Pelodiscus sinensis: one gene and its partners. The protein of the gene in region 2 interacts with the protein of the main gene of each other region in a pairwise test. Links are inferred from orthologs where the notes say so. Each region holds a gene or a part of one and is shown on either strand. Other genes may lie near its edges. The genes, in order: HYPK, TXLNA, BTF3L4 and DTNB.

Region 1 (6,597 bases), on a different chromosome or scaffold from region 2:
TGTTTTGAAACCAGCCGCTCCCCCGGGGCCTGACGAAGCAGGCGGCTCTGGGCTGCTGAGGCCTTGAAGCACTAGTAGGGAACTCAGCAGAAGGCAGAACCTCCCCTTCCGCTAACTCAGGACATAGCACAGTGTAAATATACAGAGCACCCCTGTGGATTAAGATCTGCCAATACCATGTGAGACTGAAGACAGTGGGGCTCAGCTTAAGCGCTAGCAAGCTAGCTCAACCTAAGCCTGGGAGCAAGACAGAGCGCTGGAAGGGAGGAAGGGAACAAAGTTTCTCAAGAACCATTCAGCAGGGGTGGGAAGAGATACCTCTGCTCTCCCTTTCTGAAAGCTCAGCCATTGTCTTCTGAAGGGGTTTGTCTCGTGACACAGTGCCCATAGCTCGCACACCAGTGCACCGTGGACTGACCCAAGCTTGCTACAACTGGTGGAGTTGTTGCATGCTCTTGCACGGAGCTCAGCGCCTGTTGAGCCTTGTTTTATACACTCTGCCCACAGAAGATTAGCGCGCTCTTTATTTCAATAAGTTAACACATAGCATTGACCAATCTGGCTGTCCCACCACTATCACGAAGGCTGTGCTCAGGACAGGGCTGGCAGCACAAAGACTTTGAAGTCCCAGCAAGAGTTTTCCTCGTTCTCTCCCCAAAGCACCAAGCAGTCCCGTAGGAATGTGCTTAGTTGGTGAGGGTGATCAGAGCCTCCACCACGTTCCCCATATGCTCCCGCAGACTGCGCTCTGCTGCTGCCCGCGAGATCTCCATCTCGTTCATCTGCAGGGAGGGAGCCAAGGGAAGAGATGCTGCACCACAGGCCTCGCTCAAGGCTTGCTGCTGCAGCATCACTGAAGCTGGCACCAAGCGTACACATTTGCTGTCTCTGCTGCACTGCAGTGCGCCAGGAACACAAGTGACTTTTTACAGCCCTTTGTCCTCCGGCTGCAGTGCACGTATTCTGAGCCCCCGAGACTGAGTAAATAACTTGACTGAGATCTGGGCTTGGCCTGCCCCAGCCTCGCTCTTGGCACCACTTCCTGCCATACTCACAATCAGCTCCAAATCTTCCTTCTTGATTGTAACCTTTGCCAGTTCTTTTTCCCTGTGACAAAAGGAATCAGAAGATAAAGTACCAATCTTACAGACTCCCCTTTGCAGAGCAGCTCAGTCACAACTGTCAAATACAACCAGAGCACTTGCAGTAGCTCTTTGCTGAGACAAAGCCACTGTTATTGAGACTGGCCATGGATAAGCAGAAAGTTTAACTAGAAAAACTACCCAGAGCCTTTAGAGGAAGATTCTGCATGTGCAGAACCAAGCCACATAGTACCGGACCAAATGGCTTAGGACAGGGGTGTGGGCTGCTGACCCATTACAAAAAGGATGTGGACACATTGGAGAGGGCAACCAAAATGATTAGGGAGCTGGATCACATGACCTATGAGGCGAGGCTGAGGGACTTGGGTCTGTTTAGTCTGCAGAAGCAAAGAGTGAGGGGGGATTGGATAGCAGCCTGCAACTTCCTGAAGGGAGGTTCCAAAGAGGATGGAGAGAGGCTGTTCTCAGTAGTGACGGATGGTAGAACAAGGAGCAATGGGCTCAAGTTGAGGTGGGAGAGGTCCAGGTTGGATATTAGGAAAAACTATTTCCCTAAGAGGGTGGTGAAGCACTGGAATGGGTTCCCTAGGGACATAGTGGAGTCTCCAACCCTAGAGGTGTTTAAGTCTCGGCTTGACAAAGCCCTGGCCGGGTTGATTTAGGTGGGATTGGTCCTGCCTAGAGCAGGGGGCTGGACTTGACCTTCTGAGGTCTCCTGCAGCTCTGTGGTTCTAGGATTCTCTAAGTTCTACAGGAGAGGTGCAGGGAGCGGTTACCTCTCTTGCCTTGCCTTCTGCTCTCGGGATCGGCGGTCTCCAATCACGGACATGGCCTGGGGGAGAAGAGGGAAAGGGGGGGGGAGCCACGGCTCAGGAAGGCACAGCCAGGCACAGCTGGACCCTTGATGGAGGAGCCCAGAACATCCCGCAGGGCCCCCGCCCGTGCCGGCCCCGCCCCTGTCCAAGCCCCGCCCCCCGCTCGGCCCCGCCCCTGTCCAAGCCCCGCCCCTTGTTCCGGCCTCGCCCCCTGTTCCGCCCCTGTCCAAGCCCCGCCCCTGTTCCGGCCCCGCCCCTGTCCAAGCCCCGCCCCCTGTTCCGGCCCCGCCCCTTGTCCAGGCCCCGCCCCCTGTCCCCGGCCCCGCCCCGCACCGTCTCCAGGTTGGAGCTCTGAATCTCCTTCTCCTCCGCGTAGTCGGTGACGCGCTCCAGGTCGGCCGCGCCGCTGTCGTGCTTCCGGGGCTTCTCGGCCGCGCGCCCCCCCGCGCCCTCCGCGCCGCCCCCGGCCCCGTTCGGCTCCGTCTCCAGCTCCAGCTCCACGTCGCCCTCCGCCGCCATCGCGCCCGGCCCCGCTTCCGCTTCCGGTCACGGGACCTGGCCGCGCGCGGCGCCGGAACCAGCGAGACGCGCCTGTGAGCCCAGAGCGTCCGGGAGGGGAATCGCCGGCCCCGCCCCCCGCCCCGCCCCCTTTTTGTAGGCCCGGCACAAACCCCGCGGGCAAGTGTCGTGAGCGCGGCGGCCCCTCCTCCCCCCGCCTCAGCCTCTTGGAGAGGGGGCGGGGCGGGGTCCTGGGAGGGGAGGCGGGGGGGGAGGGGGAAGGGCTCTGGGAGGGGAGGCGAGGGAGGGGGGGAGGCGGGTGCGGGGGGGGAGGGGGAAGGGCTCTGGGAGGGGAGGCGGGGGGGAGGGGGGGAGGGGGAAGGGCTCTGGGAGGGGAGGCGGGGGGGGAGGGGAGGCGAGGGAGGGGGGGAGGCGGGTGCGGGGGAGGGCTTCCCTCCCAGAGTGCTTGCTCTAGTGCAGTTCTGGCACTCCGAGTACCTCGGTGCATGGGCAGCGAGTTATATGGTGTCCAGGCTCCAGGACTATTCAGAGCCAGGGCTCAGTGCACACTGCTGAACAATAGGTCACAGCTAGTTATATAGGATGCTCAATAGGCAGATCAAAGTGGTGCCGGGGGGGGGGGGGATCCCAGACCCCCCCAGATAGATGCTAACAGTAAGGCAAGATAAGAACAGTAATAGAAAGTTATCTCGTGTTTCCAGTACAAGAAGTATTTAAACAAAGCAATAGAGATGTAGCCTGTTAGTCTGGACATCAGTTATCAGTGAAGTGGTGCTATGTCTGTCAGCTCCAAGAAGGGATCTCTGCGGGATGCGGTCCATCTGGGGATTAAAGCAGAGACATTAGCACCATTGAATGTGTCTTGTCCTGCCTCCCATCCTGGGGGATGGCTTTCCGTTGATGGGCTGGACTGGTGGGGAAGGGGAATAACCATGTACTGTGTTCATGTGCCATTCCCAGAGTCTGAATTTAGATTGGGCTCTTAACAGAATATCAGCCTGCCTCAGAAATGTTCACCCTACAGAGTCTTACCAGAGAGTCCCCTGGGCACAGCAGCCCGCCTGTGTTCTGAACGGTCAGTTCCCCCAATCCCCAAGTATTCAGGTAGTTCCCAATCCCAAGAGTCCCACCTCCTCTCCCAGGTCACTGTGCTCAGATCTCGCAGCAAAGGCAGCGCGGGTAGCCGGCCCTGCGCTCTGCTAGGGAAGGAGTTATGAACTATGAAATGAAACGTGCTGTTTACAGGCTCAGGTAGGCCACGCACACACCCAAGGGTGCAGTCTCTAATTCCAAGAGGTAACAGCTGTAGAATCTGTCCGCACTGGACTTCCTTTAGGGCCGGGGGGTCTCTGTTTCTGCTTCTTAGAGATGAGAACCCTCCTGTCTGCTGCGATTCTTTGCCCTTCCAGAGCTCGGGCTGGTGGGAGGGGCTTTCTTGCGCACAGCACCCTTGTGGCTGCCCCGCGCCGCCACCATGTAGCACCCAGCCACAGATTGCAGGCGGCAGCTGCAGAGTCGGCCCATGCACAGGCCCAGTCGGATCCCTAATGGCGGAGACCGGCCTAAGCCCCAGAGCAGCACATGCCCCGCCCCGCCCGAGTTCACTTGCACCAGGCCACTGAATATCCTGGCTGGCCACAGAGAGGCCCAGGCCACGCTGATTCCCTGTGGCCAGGAGTTCCTGGCTCGGGTGAAGTCTGCCCACCTCTCGGTGTCGTCGGGCCCCTTCCTTGCTGTGTTACGAGAGCCTCCCCCACTTTAGACTCTTATCGCCCTTCCTGTCGGCCTCCCCTCCCTAGAGCCCGCCCAGTCTCCTCGGCCTGTGTTCAGAGGGCAAGTTCCCCTCTCCTGCTAGCGCCTGTCTGCAATGGGGCAGCCGCACCGTGCCCAGAGCCCGGTGACTCCTGAGAGACGCTCCATAGTGTCCTTCCATGCCAAGCAGGTTCGCCCCTCTGACGCGGCCGGGACCCGAGCAGGCCTTGGCCGTGTGGGCCGGGCGCCGCAGGCACAGGGAGTGGGGAGTGGGGAGCGGGCACGGTGAAGACGACTCTTAGCAGCTGCTGGCCCTGGGCTCAGAGAGCCATCGGTCGAGTGCTAGGCGGGACCCGCCTCGCCAGCTGGTGGCTGGGCTGTGTCTGTCTCCTGGTCCCAGGGGCTCGGCCAGGCACAGACACGGCGGCCAGAGGAGGCTCTGCTCTCACTGCGGGCTCTGGAGGTGCTTCCGCCATCGCGCTGCCTGCCTGGCGTGTGCCCAGCTTCTCTCCAGGGATCGCTAATCCCTGCGTCTGCGGGGTAAGAGGGTTAAGGGGACTGATTTAGTGCCCAGTGTAATCACTCGATGAAAGACAAGAGTCGCCCGGAGATCATGCATGGGGGTGGGTCTAGTACCAAGATTCAGCCAATCAGAGCCCTCTGCCTAATTGGCTTCCACTTGAGATAGCTTTTCAGGAGCAGGGAGCTGTGGGGGCATCTCCAGGGAGGGGCTGGCAGAACCCTCAGGCCCCGGCATCCCCCGTCTGATGACCAGGAGGCTGGTGCAGCACATCCGGCATCGCCACGGGGGAGCCAGAGACGTCAGGCCTGCAGCGGGATGGTGGCCAGCTGCTGGAAGGCACAGGTGAGCCAGAGCGAGGCCTCTCGCGGGAGCCACTGCGATCGCCCTGTGGCAGCTCCAGGTCTCGTCCCTGAGCCCCGGATCGCCGCCGGGGCGCGGGGCAGCGGCTGCAACAGCCGGGAGCTGGCCTGGATGCCATGGGAGAGGCACCACTGAGCAGGGCAAAGCCTCCTGGTCTGCTCAAACCTCAGGTCTCCGTGCTGGCCCCAGGGCAGCCGAGTTTGTCCCATCCCAGGGCTGGCCCGGGCCCCCTGCTCCGCTCCCGAGCTGGCCTGGCTGTGGGGCTCAGGGCTACGGGGCAGTGTCTGCCGTGGGGATGCTCTCAGTAGCCAGGGTGGCAGGCTCCTGGTGCCTGCCGGACACTGGACCGGCCCCGGCTGCCCGTGGGAAGAGCCCCCCTCTGGTCACGACAGATTGGACACACTCGTTCCCCCTCCTGCTCTCTGATGCTCGGTGGCTCCCTCCACTGAAGTTCCCTGGCCTGCCAGCCGCACGTGTCTGGGTGGTTTCTCTGTCCGGCTCCTGGCCCCGCCTTGTCCCTCCGCCCAAGCGGGGCCCAGGCAAGGCCTAGCTAGGGACGTGTGCTGGACAGCCGTCCCCCCAGCCACTGCCTCTGCGGCTGCACCCCACAAGCACCGTCCTGCTTCCTCCCGCTGCAGGCGCGCCGGGGCAGGGGGGGCGTCCGTTCCCGCGGGGCTGTGCCTGCTTAAGCATGTCACTGGCAAGCCTCCCCTCCACGGAGCCAGATAACGTGGGGCTGGAGCAGGGGCTCCCCCAGCAATTCGTGGTGGGGGGGGCGCTCCAGCCACCTGCCGCCCTTTAATCAGTTAGCTGGTTAAACGTAACATGGAACCAGTTTGCTCACTAAAGCGGATTTTACGCCCTGCTTCCTGAGGGGACTGCTAACGTGTGCCAGGTTTCAGAAGCTTGTAACGGGGCGGGTGTGGCAGGGACAGCGCAGCGGGGAGGGCGTAGTGTGGCACCAGTGTGGTGGGGAGGGTGTGCAGGTGTGATGGGGAAGGTGTGGTACAGAGGGTATGGGTGTGGGTGCAGAGGGGAGGGCACCGGTGTCACGGAGTCGACACAGGTGTGGCGGGGAAGGGGCGGCTGTGGTGTGGGTGTGGCAGGGAGGGAGCAGGTATGGCAGGGAGGGTGCGAAGCAGGTGTGGCAGGGAGGGCACAGGTGTGGCAGGGAGGGTGTGGGTGTGGCAGGGAGGGCATGGGTGTGGCACAGGTTTGGCAGGGAGGGTGTGGGTGTGGCGGGGAGGGTGTGGGTAGTAAAACAAAAAAACCGCCATGTAGCACTTTATAGGCTGACAAGATGGTTTATTAGGTGATGAGCTTTCATGGGGCAGACCCACTTCCTCAGATCATATTCCCTACGAAATATGGGGAATTTTCATGGGTCTGCCCCACGAAAGCTCATCACCTAATAAACCATCTTGTCAGCCTATAAAGTGCTACATGGCGGTTTTTTTGTTTTACTACCCACACCCTCCCCGCCACACCCGCACCACACCCTCCCTGTTTTGCCAAGATCACTAAC
Region 2 (7,500 bases):
AAAGCCACAGCCTCTCTGCAGGCATGGCCCTTCAAGCTCAACGCTGAAACATACCCTCATCTTTATCCTGCACCTCACTAGTCAGGCTCTCAGCATTGCCATCAGCAGATGGCTCAGAGCTGCAAGTCCTGGACTGGCTTGGGGGTTCCCCAGCTTCAGGGGGTGCTGCAGCCTCAGCTAAGTCGCCTTCGTCTAGCACCAGATTGCTGTTCATTTTGGGAAGACCAGCAGGCAGCAGGGCAGCTTTGTCTTCCCCACCTTGGTCCTTCATCATGTCTCTTCTTCCCACTCCGTCTCAAACCCTGGTGAAAGAGAAACGTCACCTGGGTTTAGTTGTAACAGGATTTTAGCAGAAGTCAGCATCCTACAACATACTCATTGCTAGGTGAAATCAACAGGGATTGAAACATTCACAACTGAGAGAACAAGGTTCTTCATTGAGCCTCTCCATCCACGGCTAGTCGTAAGACTCAGATGCTGCCTCGTACTCAATAGAAGCTTTGTTAACTCCATTCTGTTGTTGGAAAGTAAACGCACCCTTCCTCCCACATCTGTAAGCTATCCCCCTCACCATAAAGGGCTCCATGTCAGGATAGCTGTTCCTCCAGGGTGGCTAGAGACAGCTTCCTTTGGAGCCAAGCCAGTAACTCCCAAACCCACATAGAGTAAATGGCTCTGTCACCTCTGTATTCTGTAGATTACAGTCTTCTGATGGACCCACCACTCCACCCTTCACTTAATGCTTTGCTCTCAGAACATTTCATTCCATAAAACACCAGGAAATGGAGTCCAGCATTAGCCTAGAAGGGCCCCTGCAGACTGACACGAGAACTTCCCTCTCTAGTGTTGAATGCATTGCTTTTACTAAGCACACAGACTCTCCTAGCCTGGGAGGGATGGACAGAAGCCAAAATCTTGACTCAGGATCCTCAAGATAGGAGAAGGGCCAGCTTCTCTTAAAACACCAGGCTAAGAGGGAAAGCATGTAGTTTCTAGGAAGAGCTGGTAGTCAGCAACAAAAAGATTTACCAATTATCTCCATGAAACAGAACTGACACACACAGGCCAAATTCCAGCTTCTTTCCATTTCACACCCTTCCAGAAATATACTCTCTTTCATTATTTTACCCATATCCCTCATTCACCACTCAGATAACAGGAAAAGCAAATGCTGCAGCAACTCTGCAGTCTCCCATTTCAGAAACAAAATACAGGACTATGTAGCACTTTAAAGACTAACAAGATGGTTTATTAGATGATGAGCGTTCGTGGGCCAGACCCACTTCCTCAGATCAAATAGTGGAAGAAAATAGTCACAACCATATATACCAAAGGATACAATTTAAAAAAAATGAACCCATATGAAAAGGACAAATCATTAACTCACAGGCATTTACCTTCCTTTCCCCCCCCCCCCCCCCGCATCCCCCCTCTGTTCTGAAATGTGATTTGTCCTTTTCATATGGGTTCATTTTTTTGATTGTATCCTTTGGTATATATGGTTGTGACTATTTTCTTCCACTATTTGATCTGAGGACGTGGGTCTGGCCCACGAAAGCTCATCATCTAATAAACCATCTTGTTAGTCTTTAAAGTGCTATATAGTCCTGTATTTTGTTTCAGCTACACCAGACTAACACGGCTACATTTCTATCCCATTTCAGAGACACTCACAATTATGAAACAAAGGCAGCGTAGCTGTCCCAGGACAATCTGGATCCCCCACAGAATTATTTGATGAAAGAAACATTTTGTCCCAAATTTGAGCATAGCTACACACAATTAAGTCTATGCTTCTTCTCAGAGAGCAACTCAGGGCACAATCAGCTTTATGAAGCCAGGGACGGAAGTTAAAAGTAACGGGGGCCAAGGCAAGCATGTCAACTATTCTTACACAGACACCAAAATGTACTAGGAATGTGAGTGGGTAACCAGTTACCTGGGAGCAGCCCCCTCCCCCCGTAACCTGTGGCCTCCCCTGCATCTGGCAGCCCCTAGCCCAGGATCCTGCTTAGTCAGATAACCGGTTAAACATTAGGTTAACCTACCATTTAATCAGTTAACTGATTAATCTAGAATTTACACCCCTAATATGTACCTCTCTCTCACATACAGGCTTAGCAGCACTGATTTCCCACATTGCGTACAGCCCCTTTGTCAGCTCATCCCTATGAATGCTCCATCTCCCTGTGGCATCCCATGAATTGTACACATCCCTACACTGCCCAATGTGTGCTCTTGTGCTCCACCCAACTCCACAGGCTCCACTGCCTCTGCATCCTCTGCAAGTGCCAGTCCCCACAGAGCTGTGCACGATTGTCCCTATCTATCTCCTAAGCTGCTAGGTACCCATGATTCCCCACATTTCCCTGCCCTCACCTGCACTCCCACAGCACCCAGCCGTACAATACCATCTGACACTACCCAGTCACACCCCCAACTGCCTCATTCACATTCATACATCCCCTGCCCTCCCAGCCTCGTTCACACCCATGTTGCTCCCCTGCCCCAATTCACACCCCATGCCGCTCCCTTCTCCCCCTGCCCCAATTCACACCCCTATGCTGCCTCTGCCCCAATTCACACCCCTATGCTGCTCCCTCCCCGGCCCCATTCACACCCCTATGCTGCCCTTCCCCAATTCACACCCTGTGCTGCCTCTGCCCCAAGTCACACCCCTATGCTGCTCCCTCCCCGGCCCCATTCACACCCCTATGCTGCTCCCTCCCCGGCCCCATTCACACCCCTATGCTGCCCTGCCCCAATTCACACCCCGTCCCGCTCCCTCCTGCCCCTCCACCTCCCCCATTCACACCCCTATGCCCCTCCCCCCACTGCAGTGACGTCACTCACGTACCGCGTGACGTCACCGCCGAGAAGCTTGACGTGGCTCTCTCGCCTCCGCCAATCCGTAGCGCCCGCCGGCCGCACTCCGGCAGAGGGGCGAGCTCCCCTGCATGCGGTCCCCGCTCCCCGCGGCTCCTCCTCAGCGCCGAGCTCTGCGAAGGGCCCAGCGGCAGCAGCCTCCAGCCCGGGCCGCTGAGCGGGTACAGAGTGCGCATGCGCCGTCATCCGCCGGCTCCGCCAACCAATCCGCGAGCGGGGCGGCGCGGGGCCTGCCGGGAAATACCGCTGAGCGGCGGCGGTCGAGGCGGGCAGCCCGGGCGACTACAGGGCCCAGCGTGCAACGCGCCAGGGGGCGACAATCCAGCTCCCGGCGTGCAACGCGAGAAGGGCAACGCGGGGGGGGGGAAGCTGTGAGGAGGGGGCCAGGGAGGCACTAGCCCGGCAGGGGGGGGGGGGGAAGCTGTGAGGAGAGGGGGGCAGGGAGGCACTAGCCCGGGGGGGGGGAGTTTGAGGGGGGGGCAGGGAGGCACTAGCCCGGCAGGGGGGGGGAAGCTGTGAGGAGAGGGGGGCAGGGAGGCACTAGCCTGGCAGGGGGGGGGGAAGCTGTGAGGGGGCCAGGGAGGCACTAGCCCGGGGGGGGAGTTTGAGGGGGGGGCAGGGAGGCACTAGCCCGGCAGGGGGGGGGGAAGCTGTGAGGAGAGGGGGGCAGGGAGGCACTAGCCCGGGGGGAGGGGGGCCAGGGAGGCACTAGCCCTGGGGGGAGGGTTTGAGGGGGGGGGGCAGGGAGGCACTAGCCTGGCGGGGGGCGGAAGCTGTGAGGGGAGCAGGGAGGCACTAGCCCGGGGGTAAGGGGGGCCAGGGAGGCACTAGCCCTGGGGGGGGGGAGAGCTGTGAGGAGAGGGGGGCAGGGAGGCAATAGCCAGGGGGGAGGGGGAAGCTGTGAGGAGGGGGGCCCAGGGAGGCACTAGCCCCAGGGGGGGAGCTGTGAGGAGAGGGGGGCAGGGAGGCAATAGCCAGGGGGGAGGGGGAAGCTGTGAGGAGGGGGGCCAGGGAGGCACTAGCCCGGGGGGGGGGGAGAGGGGGAAGCTGTTAGGAGGGGGGCCAGGGAGGCACTAGCCCCGGGGGTGGGAGCTACTATCTCCAGGGGGAGCTGTGAGGAGAGGGGCAGAGTGTAAGGGTGTGAACAGGTAACTGGTTACCAAATAGGCAATACGCGATAAGGCTGAAGCCCACTGGCTAACAGTTAACCAGTGTCCAGGAGCAGCCTCCCGCTCGCAGGTGGGCAGCTGTTCCAGGCTCATAGGCCCACTGTGTCATGGGCTAGGCCAGCAGAGTTGGCAGCCCCACGGGCTGCTCCAGCCCAGCTGAAGTGGGCCCTCACCCAGGATCCAACTCAGTCACTTAACTGGTTTAACCAAACATTTAATTGGTTAACAGATTAAATGGGATTTTACATTCCTGCCAGGGAGGCACTAGCCAGGGTTGGGGATGGTGAAAAGAAAGCTGAGAGGAGCAACAGCTACATGCATTAGCCTAACTATTGCCATGACTTTGAACCATAGTCTCTACCCCCACCCACTTTAGGGAGCAGCAGTGGTAGCTTTCTTTTGTTGACATTTTTCACAAGTAAGAGGGCTAGTCCAAGGTAGGTGGAGGATAGCAGGGGCTAGCCTGTCACCTTAGAATTTACCTACACCCCAATATAGATTCAAGTTCCCTAAGCTGCACAGCCACTAGAGGGGCAGTCTGAGTCTGGAGCAAGAGAAGGCCAGGGCTCAAGTCAAGAAACTGGCCTAGTGGAAACAGCCCAGACGTACTCCTTTGGCCTTTTATAGCCTTAGCTACTTCACAAAGTAAGTTTGAATTACTCAAGTGGCTGTTAAGGTGTTTAGGGAATAGCTGCACCTTTCCTACAAATGGGGAACTATACCATTAGTTATGGTGGAAATCATATTCCTCACCTTTTACAGGTTGAGTCTGCAATAGTAGTAGGCTGAATTGCACACTTGGATCCCCACAAACCAAAGGAACAGGTCTGGCTGCACCATACTGCTTACTCAAGCAAAAGTAAACAAGAGGATAATAGAGGGTCACATTTTGTCTGGAGGAAGTTGTGTATCATACCCTACAGTAGAAACTCACAGTTACAAATAGCTCAGGAATGGAGGTTCATAAGTCTGAACAAAACAGGGTTGTTTTTAAAGGTTTACAACTGAACTTAATACAGCTTTGAAACTGCACTTTCCAGAAGAAAAATATTTTGACTGTCTTTCAATGAAAGTAGTTTCCTTGTCAATGTTTTTTAAAACTTTTTTTGGTAGTTCATTTAATACATGTATTTGCTTCCTCTCCCTGCTGCCTGATTGTATCTTTCCAATTCCAAATGATGTGTATGGTAGGTATGTTAAAATGCATTTGTGTAAATATGTAACTGCTGTAACTTTCAGTGGTTACATGTTAACATGCAGGGGGAGCTGTGTGTAGGCAGCAGAGTTAACTGATGAGCCTGGCCCTAACTGTGTACTTGGGTACACATTCACATCTCTAGTATATGGTTGATTTGTCTGTTCATTACTGAAGTTCTACTGGGCTCAAAGAAAACTGCAGTCCCAGCACTTAGCAAATTACAGCTAACTCATGGATTAATTACTGCTGGTCTGGGTAGTCTCCAGTATGGTCAACAGTACAGTATATGCATTGTGCTGTTCTAATTAAATCTCCCTGAGAATGAATTAAGTAGTTTAAAATGTAGGTATATTGACAGGGACCTTCTTTCTCCCTTTCCACAGTGCTGCCTACCTGCCATACACAATAGTATGGGAGACAGGCTAGTTAAAGTAGCATTTAACCTCAAACTAGCCCTGCTACCACTGATTTACAGCTAGGAGCGCTTAGACCTTTAGCTGCATCTGCAGTCCCAGCTGAGTGAAAAGGACAACGTAGAATTTGAAGACCGCTTCGATTAGTACATTTTTCTCCTCTGGAGGAAAGAGTGAAATGGGCATAATAGAATGATCCCATATAGCAGTAGATGAGGCCTGGGCTGGCACAGTTCAAATTGTGCTTGCCCAGCAAAGTGGTCTTTCCCCCATGTTGAATTTACACATTTCCAAGCAATCCACCATCAAAGCTTTTGGAGAGTTTTCCTAGCATTTAGCTATGCATTTATGAACAGAATAGTGTGTCTGCTGACAGTGGCCAATACCATCTGCCCCAGAGGGAGGAATCACAACAGGTGATCTCTCTCCTGTCACCTACCTCTAGAGAAACAGAGGCTAGGGGATATTCTTACCCATCCTGGCTAATAGCCATTGATGGACCTAACCTCCATGAATGTATCTTTTTGGGACACTGTTAAAGTCCTGGTCATCACCGCATCCTCTGGCAAGTAGTTCCACACGTTGACTGTACGGTGAGAGAAGGAAAAACTTCCATTTGTTTTAAACCTATTAATTTGATGCCCCCTAGTTCTTCTATTGTAGGAATAACTTTTCCTTATTCATGTTTCCAAACCAGTTTACCAATTTATTATATTTACCAATATATTGGGTGTAAGAGCCCAGCAAATCCATGGATATCCACTGTATAACCACAGCTATTCACATTCATGGCTGTAGCACAATATGAAAACAAGTTTTGTATCTAGAACCTTGCAAATATCTGCAGCTCATTTTTGCAATGTGGATATAAATTGCGTCCATGCAGGGCTGCCGGTGTACATGCTTTAGCACTGGGATGTTCTGTTCATATGTGAGCACCCTGCTGGTATATTTCAATGCTGCTGCTAGGATCACCCAATTGACACTAAAAATAATCCAGACAGATTTGAGCACCTAGGTCAGCTTTGGAACAGACTTTTTATTTTGCATCTTGTATCTATTACAGTGTTGGCAACTTAGATACATTTTCAAGTCAATGTGTATAGATATCTTTTATCTGTACACATCACACTAAAAGCAAGTGTGTATCCTCACAAGGCCTACCAACCCAGGTACAGCTATAATGTACCTCCAAAGGGCCACACATTGGAGAAATAGCCAGGATTGTTCAGCTTTTATGAAAGAAATGTTTGGGTTTCTTTTTTTAAAGTAGGTTGAATCACTCTTGGCTGTTGATGGGACTATAGCCTGAACTCCTGTTCCCAGATTTGAACTGGATAAACAGCTGTATACTGTTCCTCCCATTTGTGCCATGCTCACTAGTGGCTGCATAACAACCCAACCATGAACTGATTAAAGCGGTGGGGTGTTAAGGACATAGTACCAGTTCCACACCAAAGGTTTGTTTCATATGAGTTAGTGCTTAAAACAGTTACTGCAGCAGAATAAGCCTTTTAATTGCCAGTCCTAAGGCCTATAAGTTTCCTTTAAAAACCCCTTAAGTTCTTAAGGTTCCTGGATTGTTCCAAGGAGGGATCCAGAGAAGATGAGGAAAATTTACAAAATACTATTCACTCTAATAGTCTTTTATCCAGTTCACTAGTCAGACCTCTAGCTACACATATCCCTTCTCATTACACTAGTCCCAGAAGGCCAGATCTTATATTTAAGACATATTTCATTTAGTTTTGGAGTTTGCATAGACCTGTGCTGGTAAAAAAAATTAAAGAGTGTACCTTTCATTTATCCTCCCATGTATTACACAGTGAAATGG
Region 3 (7,598 bases), on a different chromosome or scaffold from region 2:
TAGCTTTTAAGTAGGGATGTAAGCCACCAGTCAACTATCCAATAAGCATGCATTTCAACATGCATTTTAACATTTCTAGTGTATATTCTGCTATCCTTTACACTAATTATGTAAATCAAGACTAGTTTCACTGAAGTCCGGGAGATCAGACCCAACTTTTCTTAGCACTTCAGCATCTAGCCAGATGTCAATTTATTTTTAAAATGAACAATATTGACAGGGCAAATAATTATACCACTATACCTCTTCAATGCCAGCAATATTGTTTACTGCTAACTTTTTGAGTGAACTCTGAAGTTTTTTATCATCAGCTGTTGCTGTCCTGTGCACCACCTTCTTCTTTCTGCGAGCAGTACCCTGAAAATCAGACAATGAAAGAAACATTAGTCAGCAACTCTGAAGATCTGACACTGCAGTCACATGTACTAATATCAACTAGTTTCAACAAAAGGGAGTTGCTGAGTGCTGCACTTTTATTGTCAAAGCCACTCTGATAATTATCAGGCCTGGGCTGACAACCAGGCTCACTTTTTTAAGGTTCAAAAGCAAACAAAACAGAGATGAACAATTCTCTCCCAAAAGATACACTATTCCACAAATTTTAAATCACATGATGCTCCTCCATCTCTTATCCTCTCTACAGTACACAAAAGTTTTATGGCCCAAAGTTCTTTTCAGGTTATGATTTTTTAAAATTTTGTTTAGTAGTCTTTACCTGGAAATGTTGGTTTCAGGATTTTTTTTAAAAAACTAAGTCAATGGGTATTATATTGAACATCTTGATATGAATTTAAAAGTTACACTGGCTTATTTAAAATACAAAAGTATTTTACTACAAGTTCTCAATAAGAGGAAATAGGTACACTTTCCTTCTTTCTCTTCCTTATTTTCCAAAAGTTATTTTAAGAAAGGCACAAAATACATTCTGCCAAAAAGACAATTAATCAAGTAATTTAAATTTAAGCAAATCTTACAAATATGGAAAAATGTATTATTCATATTTCACGCTACAAGCTTCTACAAACAACCTTCCACACTTAAGAACTAAACTTGTGCATGTAAATGGTTAAATCAACATATAAATTTTCCATATATTGGCAACCAACTGTTTTGGATTAAAAAAAAAAAAAGTGCTATGATCCTGATCATAACATATTATTTCAGACCTCTAAAATATACAATGAAAACAAGACATGGTAGGTGCCTCTATAAATTTGATGTTGTTTTCCTCTTACCTTTCCTCCTATTCGGACCTGAGCTTGAAGCTTAGCTAGTTTTTCTTGATTCATGATGCTGTCTGAAAAATAAGTATATCAATCATATTAGCCTAATGTTAAATTACAAGTTTATTACACAAATAAGCTCAATTTTGTGTGACACTGCTTTTATTTTTTAATAAAAATGGTCATGCTCTTTACATCAATATCATAAGTAACAAGCAAAAAAATTTGCTAACAAGAACAAAAGATAAGCCATATATATAAGCTGTATCATCTAAATGATATAGCACACAAAAGCAAATATGTTTAAATTTCATGTCAATTTAAGTTACAGTTAGCATATCCTAATTTTAATACTTGTTTACCATCCCATCAGTCTGTGTCTCCCTAACCCCTCTAACAGGTGAATGACAAGCAACTCAATTTACTTTCCAAAACAGCATGCATTTCACAGCAGCAATATCTCAAACTACTGCACTTCATTACAGTAAAAGTGGCAAGGTGACATTGGAAAAGGAAGTCTTCCATAAACTACTTGAAAAGCTTTCATTGCCATTTCCATGATTAATCTCAAACAGCTGTATAATAGCTCACTACATTTTTGAATGCATAAGTTTTATCATACAGTCTATGTAAATACCACTGTCTCAATATCCTTCACGGACTACAGAGCTACATACAATATTCAACTCATCCATTATGAAGTTAAAAAGCGTGCCCACTGTATAAGAAGACGTGATTACTGGCTTTCCTTAAAACCAAAACCAACATGACCAAGAAGCAGCATGCAACACTTTCTGTTTACAGTTCTTTTAGGAGGCATTTAGCTGCTCTGCCCCAGGAAAGCATTAATTTCACTGTTTGGCAGAGAGACACCCCCCCCCCCTCCACAACTTCCATACTTGGCAATAAAAGGAAGGTGCTAGGCTCGGGTGGTGGTGGTGCTATTATGAGAAGAGAGCGCAGAGCCTCCTAATGCATTAACAAGAGTTCCCATGTGGATGCATCTTGAAACTAGGGCTGGATTTTGTGGGGCAGCCCCTACAAAGGTGGGAGAAAGGAGGTTCATTTTTTTACAGGAGAAAATTCCCCATCGTTTTCAGCAGGAGGAGGAACATAAGAGAGACCCCCCCACAATATTGCCCCGGATACCTGAAGCGACGGGGCGTACGCCCCTGAAAAGGGGGAGGGACAAAATCCAGCCCCGGGGAGCTAGAAAAGTGGTCGGAGCCCAAAGGGAGAGGCCCCCCCTTCCCCCCACCATACCCAGCCCGCGCGAGGTGGGAAGCGATTATCGCTCGCTCTTCCCCCATCCCAGCCCCGGGCAGGGGGCCCTGCCAACAGCCAACCCCGCCGCCCCCGGGGTCTACGGTCGGGGAGACGGCCCCTCCCCCATCTCCAGCGCTAAGGGAGGGAAAGGTCCCTGCCCCGGGGCGCCCCCCATCGCCAGCCCTGAGGGGAGGGGGCGAGGCTCCGCCGAACAAGCCGAGCAGCCTTCAGGCAGCGGGCAGGCCCATGCCCCTCAGGGCACCGGCCGCCCCTCCCGCCGACCGAGGCGCGCGAAGCCGCGTAGCGGGGGGGGGCGGCTAATCCGGGGGGGGGGCTAAAGAACAACGGGAGGGGGGGGGAAGGACAACAGAAAGTTCTCACCTGAGTCCGGCAAACCCTCCGCAGCCAACACGCGGTGAGAACAAGATGGCGGCCGCCCCAAGCAGGGAAAGAGAGGGGCACAGAGAAAGGAGGCCGCGGACCACGGGACTGTGAGCCCCGCCCACTCCCCCTCCGATTGGAAGGGACACGGAGCTATTTGCATAACATGGAAAGTTGAAATCGGCTCCTTCCTCTTCCCTTTCGTTTCGGCACGCCCAATCCGCAGAGAGAAACTACAAGTCCCAGCATGCCAGGCGCATAGGAGGACTCTTGAGTCCCGTCGAGGTAGAGCATTCTGGGAATTGTAGTCTCCCTAGGAGCGGAGGTGGTTTTTGGGCCCCGCCTTAGTACCATCCGTGCCCTTCCTTACTGCTCTCGTCTAGGCAGGAGGAGGATTTCTGCAGCGCAGTGCGTGCTTCCTCTGGGATTTTGGATTTCTTTGGGGTGGTTTTTTTTTTGCAAAAAATAAAAGCCGTGGTATTTGCAATGGGACAGCGCCGAGGACTGCAACGGGTAAAGTGAAAGCAGGGTCGTAAAGCCATGTAGCATTTCCTCCGAAGAGTCCAGGGGCTAATTACCCAAAATTAGCATGTTGGGATACTTCTTAAGGGGTCAAAGGCTGGCTGATCAAGATTTTTACATTGAGACATTTTAAGAGCCAGGAGTTTTAAATGGAATAATTCCAAAGATTGTAAAAATATAACTTAAGATCTGCATCATTCCAGCTTTTACTTTCTCAGTTTGCAAACAGGTAGGTGCGAATATAGAGAACCCTGAAGATTACTTTGAGCATAGTGATGTATGAACACTCCACCCCATGCTCACCGGGACTGAAGAGCAACCAATCAATGTGGACCCGCTCTCAGTCAGTCCTCCAGGACGTACGTGCACCGGATTAGTTAAACATTAAATCATTCCGGTAATAACAATTACTGCTTTAGCCAAATTCTGGACTTGTTATTACTACCCCTCGCGAGGGGCTGGTGCAGTAGAACCAATTTGTGTCCGTGACTCGGTTGAGCTCCTCCTTTCAAGTCCAGATGAATGTAAATGTCCCCCTTCCCTGGCAATATCTCGTTAAGAAAGTAGACAGTTTGGAAACAAATATGCAGGACTGTACCCATAGATCCAAAATATTTTAGCAAGTCTCTCATTCAGATTTTGGAGGATCTGTTCCTTTTATTTAACCTACCTGAAACGGGACTCTGAAGAACCACCCACATCCGCCCAACATCACTTCCTGGGTTAAAAAAAAACCCCACAACCCAAACCCCTAAGCTATCTGTTCTGATCTTGCTGACAGTGGCCATCGAGAAATAATCGTACTGCCGAGGATCCAAGCGGACACCATGAAGATTCAATTAGCAGCAGCGCTCTCCAGTTTCTCTCTTTGTCTGATTTTCCTGGTGCTTACCACATCCTCTGCTGGAGAAGGGCTTGGAAAGGGTTAGGCATCTCTTTTCTTTTTGTTTGTATTTAAACTTTATAATTGCTATAAATAAGTAAATAAATCCCTAATCAGGAGGATCCTTCCCTGCCTCCTACTACTGCATTTAATATTTGCAATAATGCAGTCAAGTAGTAATAGTGCTTATTGTTATAAGCTTCATAGTAGGTATGATCAGGAGATGATGGCTTTACTGGTAGAATTGAAGCTGAAACATACAAGATATTATGGTGCTGGGCTCTAAATTGAGCAATTGCAGTGGAAAATGCATTAATGTTGTGGGAGTGAAGAGGAGGGGGTTTTATAGTTTTATTCTTTGTCGGAACTCTATTTTTGATACTCCATGTCTCTATGGCCACTTCCAATTTCATTTTCATTCATAAAATGTCTTGTTGGTTCTGAGTCAGTTTTAAGGACATTTAAAAATTCTTTCTTTGGTGCTGAAGCATTTTGTAAGGGGTCTTTCAATTAATTTCAAGTATAATTTTAATTTCCCTTTCCGATGGTCTCATTTTGGCATCCCTGGAATAATGCAATATAAAAGCAGGGCCCTACCAAATTCACAATTTTTGTCAATTTAATAGTAATAGGATTTTTAAAATGGTATATTCCATCATTTCAGCTATTTAAATCTGAAATGTCACCATGCTGTTGGGCTACTTCTACAATGCAGGCTTCTTGCGCAAGAACTGCCTTGCGCAAGAGCATGTCTACACTGCCATAAGCTTTTGCGCAAGAGCTGCGCTTTTGCACAAGAGCGTCCATGGCAGTGTGGACGCCCTCTTGCGCAAGAAAACGCCATTTTAGCCAAAGGGGTTTCTTGCGCAAGAAACCCTTGCCCGTCCACACTGCCTTCTTGCGCAAGAGCTCTTGCGCAAGAGGGCTTATTCCTCATGGGGAGAGGAATAACTCTTGCGCAAGAAGCCCTCTGTTCCAAAGCTTTACTGTAAATTTACTTGCGCAAGAACTCACGTGCAGTACAGACGGTCCGCAAGTTTTTGCGCAATAATGGCTGTTATTGCGCAAAAATCCTGCAGTGTAGACGTAGCCTTGCTGTAGGGGTCCTGACCCCCAAAAAAGTTTTTTGGGGTGGGAGGGTTGCAGTACTGCTTTCCTTACTTCTGCAGTGCTGCTGGTGTTGGCACTGCTTTCAGAGCTGGGCACTTGAAGAGCAGCAGCTGCTGGCTAGGAACCCTACTCTGAAGGCAGAGCCACTGCCAATAGCAGCACAGAAACAAGGATGGCATATTACGGCATTGCCACCCTTACTTCTGCACTGCTGCACGTGGGGTGCTTATATTCATTGTTTGTTCTTACCATGAGGCAATCCTGTCTGTGTGCGTGTCAGCTCTTTGACTGCCGCAGTTTCTGGCAGTGCTGTCCTGGAGGCTCCGCAGGCCTCACATTTTCTTTGCAAGTTAGGGATAGTCATACCCTGTCCCCCAAATCCTCTCAATATTCCCAGTAATGTTCAGCTGCTTATTCACTGAGCTCTTGGAATTACCAGGCCTATTTACACCTTAGAATGCAGTTCTACTGAATGCTCATCCGTTAGATATATGTATAGTGAAAACAAGAGTACGTTTATTATCCAAGAACAGAGATTCAAGTGATTGAATATTAATATTGGAAACAAATGATTACATATCAAAAAATGTTTTGTAGACACTAAGCCTAACTAGCAAGCTACCTTACAGTTTCAAGATTATCTCACCTAATATTCTCTCCGGTGTATTCAACCCAGCCTTTCTGAGATTTTTTCCTAAAACAAAGTCATTTATTTCCTTGGTGAAGAATGCCAGGTTGTGCTTTGTCCCCCAAATATACCACAGGAAACTTTTGATATTGACCTGCCAATAAGCTTCACCTCTTCCCTCCACTATTTATCTCTTCCTATTGTTTCCCTCTCTTTGAAGATATCACAGTCCTTCAGCATTTGGTTCAGACTGGAAAGTGGAGACCCATTTTGAAGCATAGAATACTTAACATAAGAATAACTGTACTGGGTCAGACCAATGATCTGTCTAATCCAGTGTCCTGTCTTCCAACAGTGACCAATGCCAGGTGCTTCAGAGGAAATGAATGGAATAGGAAATCATCTATGATCCATTTTCATGGATCTATTCTCCATCCAGACCTAAATGTACACAAAAAGAAATATTTCTTGCCTGAAAAATACCAGTTTTTCACTCTTGCTGGTGATCAGACGTAGACCTTAAGAACATAATTTTCAGTGTATGTCCATAACTCCTTACACAACATTCATACGTGTGCTTTTATATTCATAACAGGTGTTACACAGATTTTTATTAGAGACCTCACATGACACACTCTGGTGAACTCAAATACAAATACCAGAGTAGGGTATTCCTGTAACCCTTATGCCTTTTGTCAGTTGACATTGAGAGGTCTTTGGGTTACACAAATTATAGCAGAACATAATATGCTGATGATTACACATAAATCATACTAATTCATCAAAGTGTTTTGTGCAAGGAAACTAGGTGACGATTTCAAGAGATTATGGAACCTTTTATTTGTAGATTACTACTTTACATCTGGCCAAAGTTGGTTATCCAAAAGCGTTTACTGTCTAATGGTTAAGAATGTAGGAATGGACACACTGTGTCAGACCAAAAGTTCATGTAGCCCAGTAACCTGGCCTCCTACAGTGACCAATGTTAAATGCTTCAAAAGGAATGAACTGGACAGGTGATCATCAAATGATTCATCTCCTGTCACTCATTCCTAGTTTCTGCCCCATTGGCTTCATTGCCCATCCTGGCTAACAGCAAGTGTTTATTAATTTAATTAATTTATTTCTTTTTAAAACCCTGATATAGTCTTAGACTTCAGAACATACTTTGGTAAGAAGTTCCACAGGTTGACTGTGCACTCTGTGAAGAAATACTTCCTTTTGTTTGTTTTAAAGCTGCTGCCTATTTCATTTGGTGACCCGGAGGTCTTGTGTTATAAGGAGGAGTAAATAACACTTTATCTACTTTCTCTATACCAGTTAAGATTTTATAGGCCTCTGTCATATCCCACCTTAGTTGTCTCTTTTCCAAGTTGCAGCCTTAATAATCTCTCCTCATATGGAAGCGGTTCCATACACCTAATATTTGTTGCCCTTTTCTGAACCTTTTCCTATTTCAATATTTGGTAGCTTAAGTGAAATAGGATAGTGGGGTAGTTCATAGTGAACAGAAATTGGTAAGCAGAATAAACTTCAGAGTTTAATATGATGTCTCTGAACAGTTAGCAGATATTCACAGATGAGA
Region 4 (7,420 bases), on a different chromosome or scaffold from region 2:
CTCACCAGCTCCCCAGCCCACTGTGAGCTCTGCTGCCTCCCTGCCCTGCCAGCTCTGGCATCCCTGCCAATTACCCAGTCTTGCCAGCTGCGGACTCTGGTGCCCTATGGGCTACACTACCCCAATCAGCCAGCTCTGGTCCAAGCTGCCAGTAACCTCTGTTCTGAGGCTCTCTAGCCCAGCAACATCTGTGGTCCAGCCGAACCAGAGAGTCCCAGATCACAAAGGTTCAACCTGTGTAATGAAAGGCTAAGATATGGCGTCAATGTAAAATAAAAACATAAATGAAAATCAAAATAAATAAGTGCTTTTTTATACTGATGAGAAGGAAGGAAATATGAACTCTTACCGACGGTTATAATCAAGGCCTGATTTACAATGAGATACATTAGAGAGACAAAATGAAGACAACAGAATTATATATTGGCACACCTGAATTATGTGGCCTTTGCCACACCCAAAACAAATTTCAGATAAAATTTGCTCTTCTCTACTGGATTACTGCAAAGCAAGTAATTTTTTGAATATGTACATTTCAGAGTACACACACAGCTACAAATGTATAATTTTCTGTCCAACATCCTGAAAGACTGTATACTATAGTAGCAGACACTAAAACCATACCATGTTTGCATAACATCTTGCCACTTGTTTTGTTCATTAATGAAAATATACTTCTCACATTGTACTTGGTTTTTAATGTAAGCAAGATATAATGAGTAAAGATTTCAAAAGAGCGCTAGGACAGATTAAATTATATCAAACATCTATAAATTTTCAAAGTGATGTTCTGAGTATTAGAATAGTAGTTTATTAATAGAGTTGATGTGACAGATCTATTTGGAGTTATGAAATGAGTTGATTGTGAGGTGTTACAGGCTTATGCAAAGATTGAATGTTTCTTTTTTTAGTTAAACTAACAATTAACAGGCAAAACAAACAACCAATGGTCTGGTAGCACTTTATAGACTAACAAAAAATATAGATGGCTGTGCCCACGAAACCTCATGATACCAGCTATACGTTTTGTTAGTCTATAAAGTGTCTATAAAGTCTATAAAGTTAGTCTACCAGACCATTTGTTGTTTTCTAAGTTTATCCTGTACAGACTAACTCGGCTACCCCCAAGTATAAAGGATGTAAGAAGTTAGCTAAAACAGTAACTCTTTAACCACTGAAAATCTTAGCAGCTACAAGCACTGTGGGCTCTGTCTTGCTCTATTCAATATGTTTCTTATTTAAGCTTTTAGGGGGCTGCACCTTTGCTCGCTACGCTCGCTTACCCGCTTTCACTTTGCTGAGAAAGCCCATTGATGCAGGTAACGTGATGACATCATTCTGTCGCCCAGCAGAAACATTCTGTCATCTGGCAGGAAAAAACTTTTTTATATAGAGAGATACTGCAGAGCCCACAACAAAGCCTCCCTGGGAGTTGGGCTTCCAGCCCCTGCCACCTCCACTCCCAGGGACACGGATGCCACAGTGAAGCTGCCTCCCTGGAAGCCAGGTGAGTTTAATAGATAGCATTAACTGATAAGCAAGGTTTGGTCCTGGTGTGATAAAAATTCTATTGACTACTTGATTACTAAAATAACCTAATTTTAGCATCCCTAACCTAAACTGCTCTTGCTGCAGATCAACGTCATTACTTCTTGCCCTACTTTCATTGGATAGGGATGATAACTGATCACTGTTCTCTTCCTAACAGTCCTTAATCCATTTGAAAATTATTACAATGCATCCCCTCAGTTCTCTTTTCTGAAGATAAAGCATGCAGAGTTTGTAAAATCTTATTTCCTAACACGTGACGTGCAGAACAGGACTCTGTACTACAGTGGAGGCACAACGAGTAGAGCAAGACAGTTAACTTCAGTGATGGACATACTACACTTGTAATCGTGAAAAAGTTGGGGAGTACTAATATATCATATTGCAGACTCATTCAACTGCTGATCCACTGTAATCCCTAGTTCCTTTTCAGCAGTATCACCATCTGTGGCCCAACTTCCCTATATCTGGGCTCTGATGTTGCCGGACCAGAGAGTCTCAGTTAAGGGAGGTACAACCGTTATTTTTCACAAGTTGATCTCTCACTTAGATGTACTTTGTATATTTACTGTGTGTTTGTCAAAAATAACATCAAATGTAAGTTACAAAAAGCTGGTTAAATAATGTAATGTATGTATCGGTTCAAGTACAGAGTCCTGTGTTCAATACCGCACAATATTAAATCAATCGTGATTACCTAGATTACACGAAAACTCTCTGGGGCAATTTCTACTTTTGACCCTAATTTCTTTTTGAATCTTTAAAAAAGTTACCTACAAAAAAAAGGGGGGGAGGGGGAATTTGCTGTTTATTTCTTTATCCTGTATAAAAGCGACCTGAGCTTTTTTTCCCCCTGTTTGCTTTTCACAGTCGGAGTCTCAGAAATGTCACAACCTAGTTTCGTTTCCGCTCTTTGCAATGGCCTCTCACAGGCGCGCTGGTGTCTAACGGGGGGGGGGGGGGGGGCTCTCCGAAAGCACCTCGGTAACAGCACTGCCGCTCCAGCGCCAATACCTGCTCACACCGGGGCACACGGCCGAGGAGCCCGCGCCCCGCGGGACACACGGGGCAGCCCACCCCCGTAGGGCCCGCTTGGCCGCTGCCGAGCACCCGCAGCAGGGACACAAAGGCGGGGAGGCGCGCGCGCTGGCGGAGCGGGGCCCGCAGCGAGCTCCCTGCCCCGAGGCGCGCCCGGGCGGAAGACCGGCAGCGGCGGCCGAGGAGAAGGGCTCGGCCCCGGGAGCCCGGCGAGCGACCCCGCACGGCGCTGGGAGAGCAGCCCCGCCCCGCCCCGCCCGGCGCACTCACTTGTCCGGGGGCGAGGCCGCTCCTGGGGAAGGCGGCGGCAGGCGGCGGCCCCGGCTCCGCTCCCGGCTCCCGAGCGCCTCCGCGCCGGCCTCGCGAGGCCTTCTCCGACCAATCCGAGGCGGCCTCCGCGCGCGCGCTCAAACCGCCCCGCGAGCCCCTCCCCCGGCCGCCTCGCGGAAGCGGTTTCGGACGAGCGAGCGCTTCAGCCAATCGGCAAACGGCTCTGTCCGGCGACTCGCGCCGCGCCCTCGCGCTTCTGCCGCCAATCAGCGAGTGCCGCTCCGCGCCGCGCCCTCGCGCTTCTGCCGCCAATCAGCGAGCGCCGCTCCGCGCCGCGCCCCCTCCCTCCGCCAACGGGCCGCTGCCTGCAGCCCCGAGCGCGCGCGCGTCGCCTCAGGTGCGCGGCCGAGCCTCCCTGGGCCCGCGGCTCCCGCCCCCCCCGCCCCGCCCCGCAGTGGAGCGGCCCGCGCTCCCCTCAGGCTCGCAACTCAGCCAGGGCACGGACGGGCTGGATGGGGCACAGGTAACGGGGGGGGGCTGGATGGGGCACAGATAGCGGGGGTGGGGCACGGGGGGGTATGGGGGGGGGTGGGGGGGTGGCGGGATGGATGGAGGCAGTTTAGGGGACAGACAACAGGTCCAGCGGAGGGCAACCAAAATGATTCGGGGTCTGGAGCACATGACCTACGAGGAGAGGCTGAGGGACTTGGGGCTGTTTAGTCTGCAGAAGCGAAGAGTGAGGGGGGATTTGAGAGCAGCCTTCAACTTCCTGAAGGGAGGTTCCAAAGAGGATGGAGAAAGGCTGTTCTCAGTAGTGACGGGTGGCAGAACAAGGAGCAATGGTCTCAAGTTGTGGTGGGAGAGGTCCAGGTTGGATATTAGGAAAAACTCTTTCCCTAGGAGGGTGGTGAAGCACTGGAATGGGTTATCTAGGGAAGTAGTGGAGTCTCCATCCCTAGAGGTGTTTAAGTGTCGGCTTGACAAACCCCTGGCCGGGTTGATTTAGTTGGGATTGGTCCTGCCTAGAGCAGGGGGCTGGACTTGCTGACCTGAGATCTCTTCTGGCTCTAGGATTATATGAACGGACAGGTGTAGGGGGGATAAAGGAGGTGTATGGGGACGGATGGATAAATAGCAGGGAGATAGATGGAGGTGTGGGGCAATGAATAGATCGAGGGGGTGTATGGGGATGGACGGATCGAGAGGGTGTGGGATGCATGGCAATGGATGGATAGCTAGAGGAGGTGTGGGGGGATAGATACATAGGGTGTGTATGAATGGACAGATAGATGCCAGTCCCATGATTTTTGAGCACTTACAGTTTGCTGTACTCTGGTTAGGCGTTGGCAGAGTTCTCTGTCAATATGCCTCAAAGCCCCTCTAATCACATGATCTCCGGCCTGGACAGGGCACCAGCAGAGGCAAGGAAGGAACATTCCCAGGAAGCAGCAACCTGAGGCAGAACCGTAAATACAGGAATGTTGGAGCATGACGACTCAATTGAGCCACAAATTCAGCAATGATAGTAAATTAGTAGAAGAGCCTTTTTTCCCCCCTTGTCTGGGCTAGAGATCATCATTATCAGTCAGTGAAGCGGACTCTTCAGCATCACCAGCTATTACTCCAGAGCAACAGCTTTACTATGGTTAATTGACAGCCACTATTTAAAATACTACTATTCTTAGCTCTACAATCCATATGGTGACCAACAGCACCTTGACATTTGTTATGCTTCACAGAGATGAAGGATAGGCTTAGTGGTTAATTTGGGGGACACTTGAGCCAGGATTTCCCAAGATACAGGGCTCCTCATCTCCTCTCCATCAGCCATTAACAAAATCGCCTGTTTCTTGTAACCTAATTTACCTGTACTTTGTGTTCAAAGTATTGGTCTGATCATCCGCACATTGGCATGTTAGAATTTACCTCAGATAGAAGACAGTACACACTATCGCTTTGGAGAAGCAATATTGGAAAAAGCTTAGGAGAATACGCCTACCTTTTTAAATGATCCCATTTTAAAAAAGAGCTACACTGAAGAAGTCTCAGAGTCTAGTAAACCATGTAATCTCCACCTTCTGAAGAGGCCAGTTGGGCATTATAGCCATACTAAGGGGAAGCAATTTAGCAGAGCATGCACTATGATTCCGAATAACTGGACAATCTAATGTCATATTTTGGTGTCTCAGGCAGACAACATTTGGTTTGCATACACATCTTGGAGTAGTTATCACTTTTTTTTGTTTCTAAATTTGACTCCTACCTAAAACATCTTACAGCCAGCACAATTTCCATTTCAGAATTAAAAATCTTGCTGTCCACAAATGTAATACATAGCACTTATTTGGTTTTTTTAAGAATCATATCTATTTAACAAAATATAGAGAGTCAGGTGATATCAAATAGAATTATTGAAAACAAAGGGTTACATATAAAACAACAAGAATCGGGACTTAATTCAAAAGCTATTCTCTTCTTAAGTTTACCTCACCCTTGGCAATCCCAGATATATCAGAGCAGTCCTTTGATCTTTATTAATAAACCATGCATCCTGCTGCTGTGTATTTTTTTCTTGACTTCAAAGTCTCATCAGTGTCTCTGCCTTGCTTAGCTGGTAACTTAGTATAGTGAGAAACAGACATGAGGCATGTCACTTTTGTGACCTGCCTTTAACCTTCAAGGCTTTAAAACATAAGTTCCAGTAGGGATACATTGCTTTTAAAATACTGTTGTTTCATACATTTCACAATAATGGTGATGACCACTGGCTATTGGCTCTCAGTAAAGACCTTATATGTCACCCTTTGGTGAACTATTCTATAGCTATTGGACTCAGGATTCCTGTCTGACATATGTGCATTTTATGTCTTCAGCCTGTTGGTGCCATGGGCTGCCTAGGTCATACCCTCTGAAGTCAAGGTATGGTAAGCCATGTGACAAGGTGGCATGCAGAGTTCCCTGGTATAACAGTGAGGACAGAAACTCAATTTACAATATCTCTTGAAGGGAATAAGATCCTTACTTATCCATGAAGTTATAATCCTGGGCTCTGAAAAATCCAAACATGCACCCTGCGAGTACTAGGGATGTAAAATCCCAGTTAATTAGTTAACCAGTTAAATGTTAGACATTTAACTGGTTAAATGACTAAAAGTGGGATCTGGGCTATAGACTGCATCAGCCCAGCTGGAGCAGCCCTGACCTTGTGGGGCTTCTGCACCCAACCCCACAATGGGGCTGCTGCCAGCTCCCAGGCTCCACTGGAGTAGGCCCTGCCTGTGGGGCACCTGGGCTACCCAATGACAGAGGCTGCTTTGAATGACAGCAGTTCCTGTCTGCAGAGGGGCTTCCTGCAGGGCTGGAGCAGCCCCCTGCCCTTGGCTGCAGCCAACACCTGTTATTGGTTAACTGGAACTGGTAAGTATCATCCATTTAGAGTAACAGAATCCCAAAGCTGGAAGAGACCTCAAGAGGTCATTGAGTCCAGCCCCCTGCCCAAAGCAGGACCAACCCTAAGTAAATCATCCCAGCCAGGACTTTGTCAAGCTGGCACTTAAAAACCTCTAGGGATGGAGATTCCACCCCCTGCCTAAGTAACCCATTCCAGTGCTTCATCACCCTCCTAGTGAAACAGTGTTTCCTAACTTCCAACCTAGACTTCTTCCACTGTAACTTGAGACCATTGCTCCTTGTTCTGCCATTTGTCACTACCGAGAACAGCCTTTCTCCATTCTCTTCGGAAGTTCCCTGCAGGAAGTTGAAGGCTGCTATCAAATCCCCCCTCACTCTTCTGCAGACTAAACAAGCCCAAATCCCTCAGCGTCTCCTCCTAGGGTTTCCCTCCACTGGACTTTCTCCAATGTGTCCACATCCTTTCTGTAACGAGGGGAGCAGGGGGGAGAACTGGATGCAATACTCCAGATGTGGCCTCCCCTGTGACAAATAAAGGGGAATAATCACTTCCCTGGGTCTGCTGGCAATGCTCCTCCTAATGCACCTCAATATGCAATTCGCCTTCTTGGCTACAAGGGCACACGGTCTCCATCTTCTCATCCACTGTAATCCCCAGGACTTTTTCTGCTGAACTGCTACTTAGCCAGTCGGTCCCCAGCCTGTAAAAATGCTTGGGATTCTTCCATTCCAAGTGCAGGACTCTGCATTTGTCCTTGTTGACCCTCATCACATTTCTTTTGGCCCAATCCTCCAATTTGTCTAGGTTACTCTGGACCCTATACCTATCCTCCAATTTATCTACCTCTCCCCCTTAGCATTATCCACAAACTTGCTGAGAGTGCAATCCATCCCCTCTTCCAGGTCATTAATAAAGATGTTGAACAAAACCAGCCCTAAAACCAGTCCTTGGGGCACTCCTCTTGAAACCAACCGCCAACCAGACATCAAGCTGTTGATCACTTCCCATTGGGCCCAACAATCTAGCCAGCTTTCTATCCACCTTACAGTCCATTATCCAATCCATACTTCCTTAACTTGCAGGCAAGAATATTGTGGGAGACTGTATCAAAAGCTGTGCTAAAGTCAAGATACATCACATCCCCTGACTTAG

What was found.
Region 1: the proteins of TXLNA (region 2) and HYPK interact in binary tests that used the Homo sapiens proteins (3 or more experiments, as listed by UniProt). The two-hybrid records come from large-scale screens. The link is inferred for Pelodiscus sinensis from reciprocal best matches to the Homo sapiens genes TXLNA and HYPK.
Region 3: the proteins of TXLNA (region 2) and BTF3L4 interact in binary tests that used the Homo sapiens proteins (3 or more experiments, as listed by UniProt). The two-hybrid records come from large-scale screens. The link is inferred for Pelodiscus sinensis from reciprocal best matches to the Homo sapiens genes TXLNA and BTF3L4.
Region 4: the proteins of TXLNA (region 2) and DTNB interact in binary tests that used the Homo sapiens proteins (3 or more experiments, as listed by UniProt). The two-hybrid records come from large-scale screens. The link is inferred for Pelodiscus sinensis from reciprocal best matches to the Homo sapiens genes TXLNA and DTNB.

What each region holds. Positions count from the first base shown.
Region 1 is NW_027466027.1:114,073-120,669, reverse strand, and holds HYPK (huntingtin-interacting protein K), read right to left. Parts: upstream 2,530-6,597; 5' UTR 2,438-2,529; coding exon 2,252-2,437; intron 1,936-2,251; coding exon 1,880-1,935; intron 1,108-1,879; coding exon 1,056-1,107; intron 783-1,055; coding exon 687-782; 3' UTR 507-686; downstream 1-506. Other genes in the region: SERINC4 (serine incorporator 4), read left to right, coding at 5,028-5,054. UniProt on the Homo sapiens protein: Component of several N-terminal acetyltransferase complexes. Inhibits the N-terminal acetylation activity of the N-terminal acetyltransferase NAA10-NAA15 complex (also called the NatA complex).
Region 2 is NC_134735.1:3,556,561-3,564,060, reverse strand, and holds the start of TXLNA (alpha-taxilin), read right to left. Parts: upstream 3,018-7,500; 5' UTR 2,858-3,017; intron 303-2,857; 5' UTR 275-302; coding exon 55-274; intron 1-54. UniProt on the Homo sapiens protein: May be involved in intracellular vesicle traffic and potentially in calcium-dependent exocytosis in neuroendocrine cells.
Region 3 is NC_134719.1:9,174,654-9,182,251, reverse strand, and holds the start of BTF3L4 (transcription factor BTF3 homolog 4), read right to left. Parts: upstream 3,015-7,598; 5' UTR 2,871-3,014; intron 1,298-2,870; 5' UTR 1,290-1,297; coding exon 1,236-1,289; intron 358-1,235; coding exon 244-357; intron 1-243. Other genes in the region: TXNDC12 (thioredoxin domain-containing protein 12 precursor), read left to right, coding at 4,220-4,316.
Region 4 is NC_134713.1:429,491-436,910, reverse strand, and holds the start of DTNB (dystrobrevin beta), read right to left. Parts: upstream 3,011-7,420; 5' UTR 2,857-3,010; intron 1,367-2,856; exon of another isoform or gene 1,284-1,366; intron 1-1,283.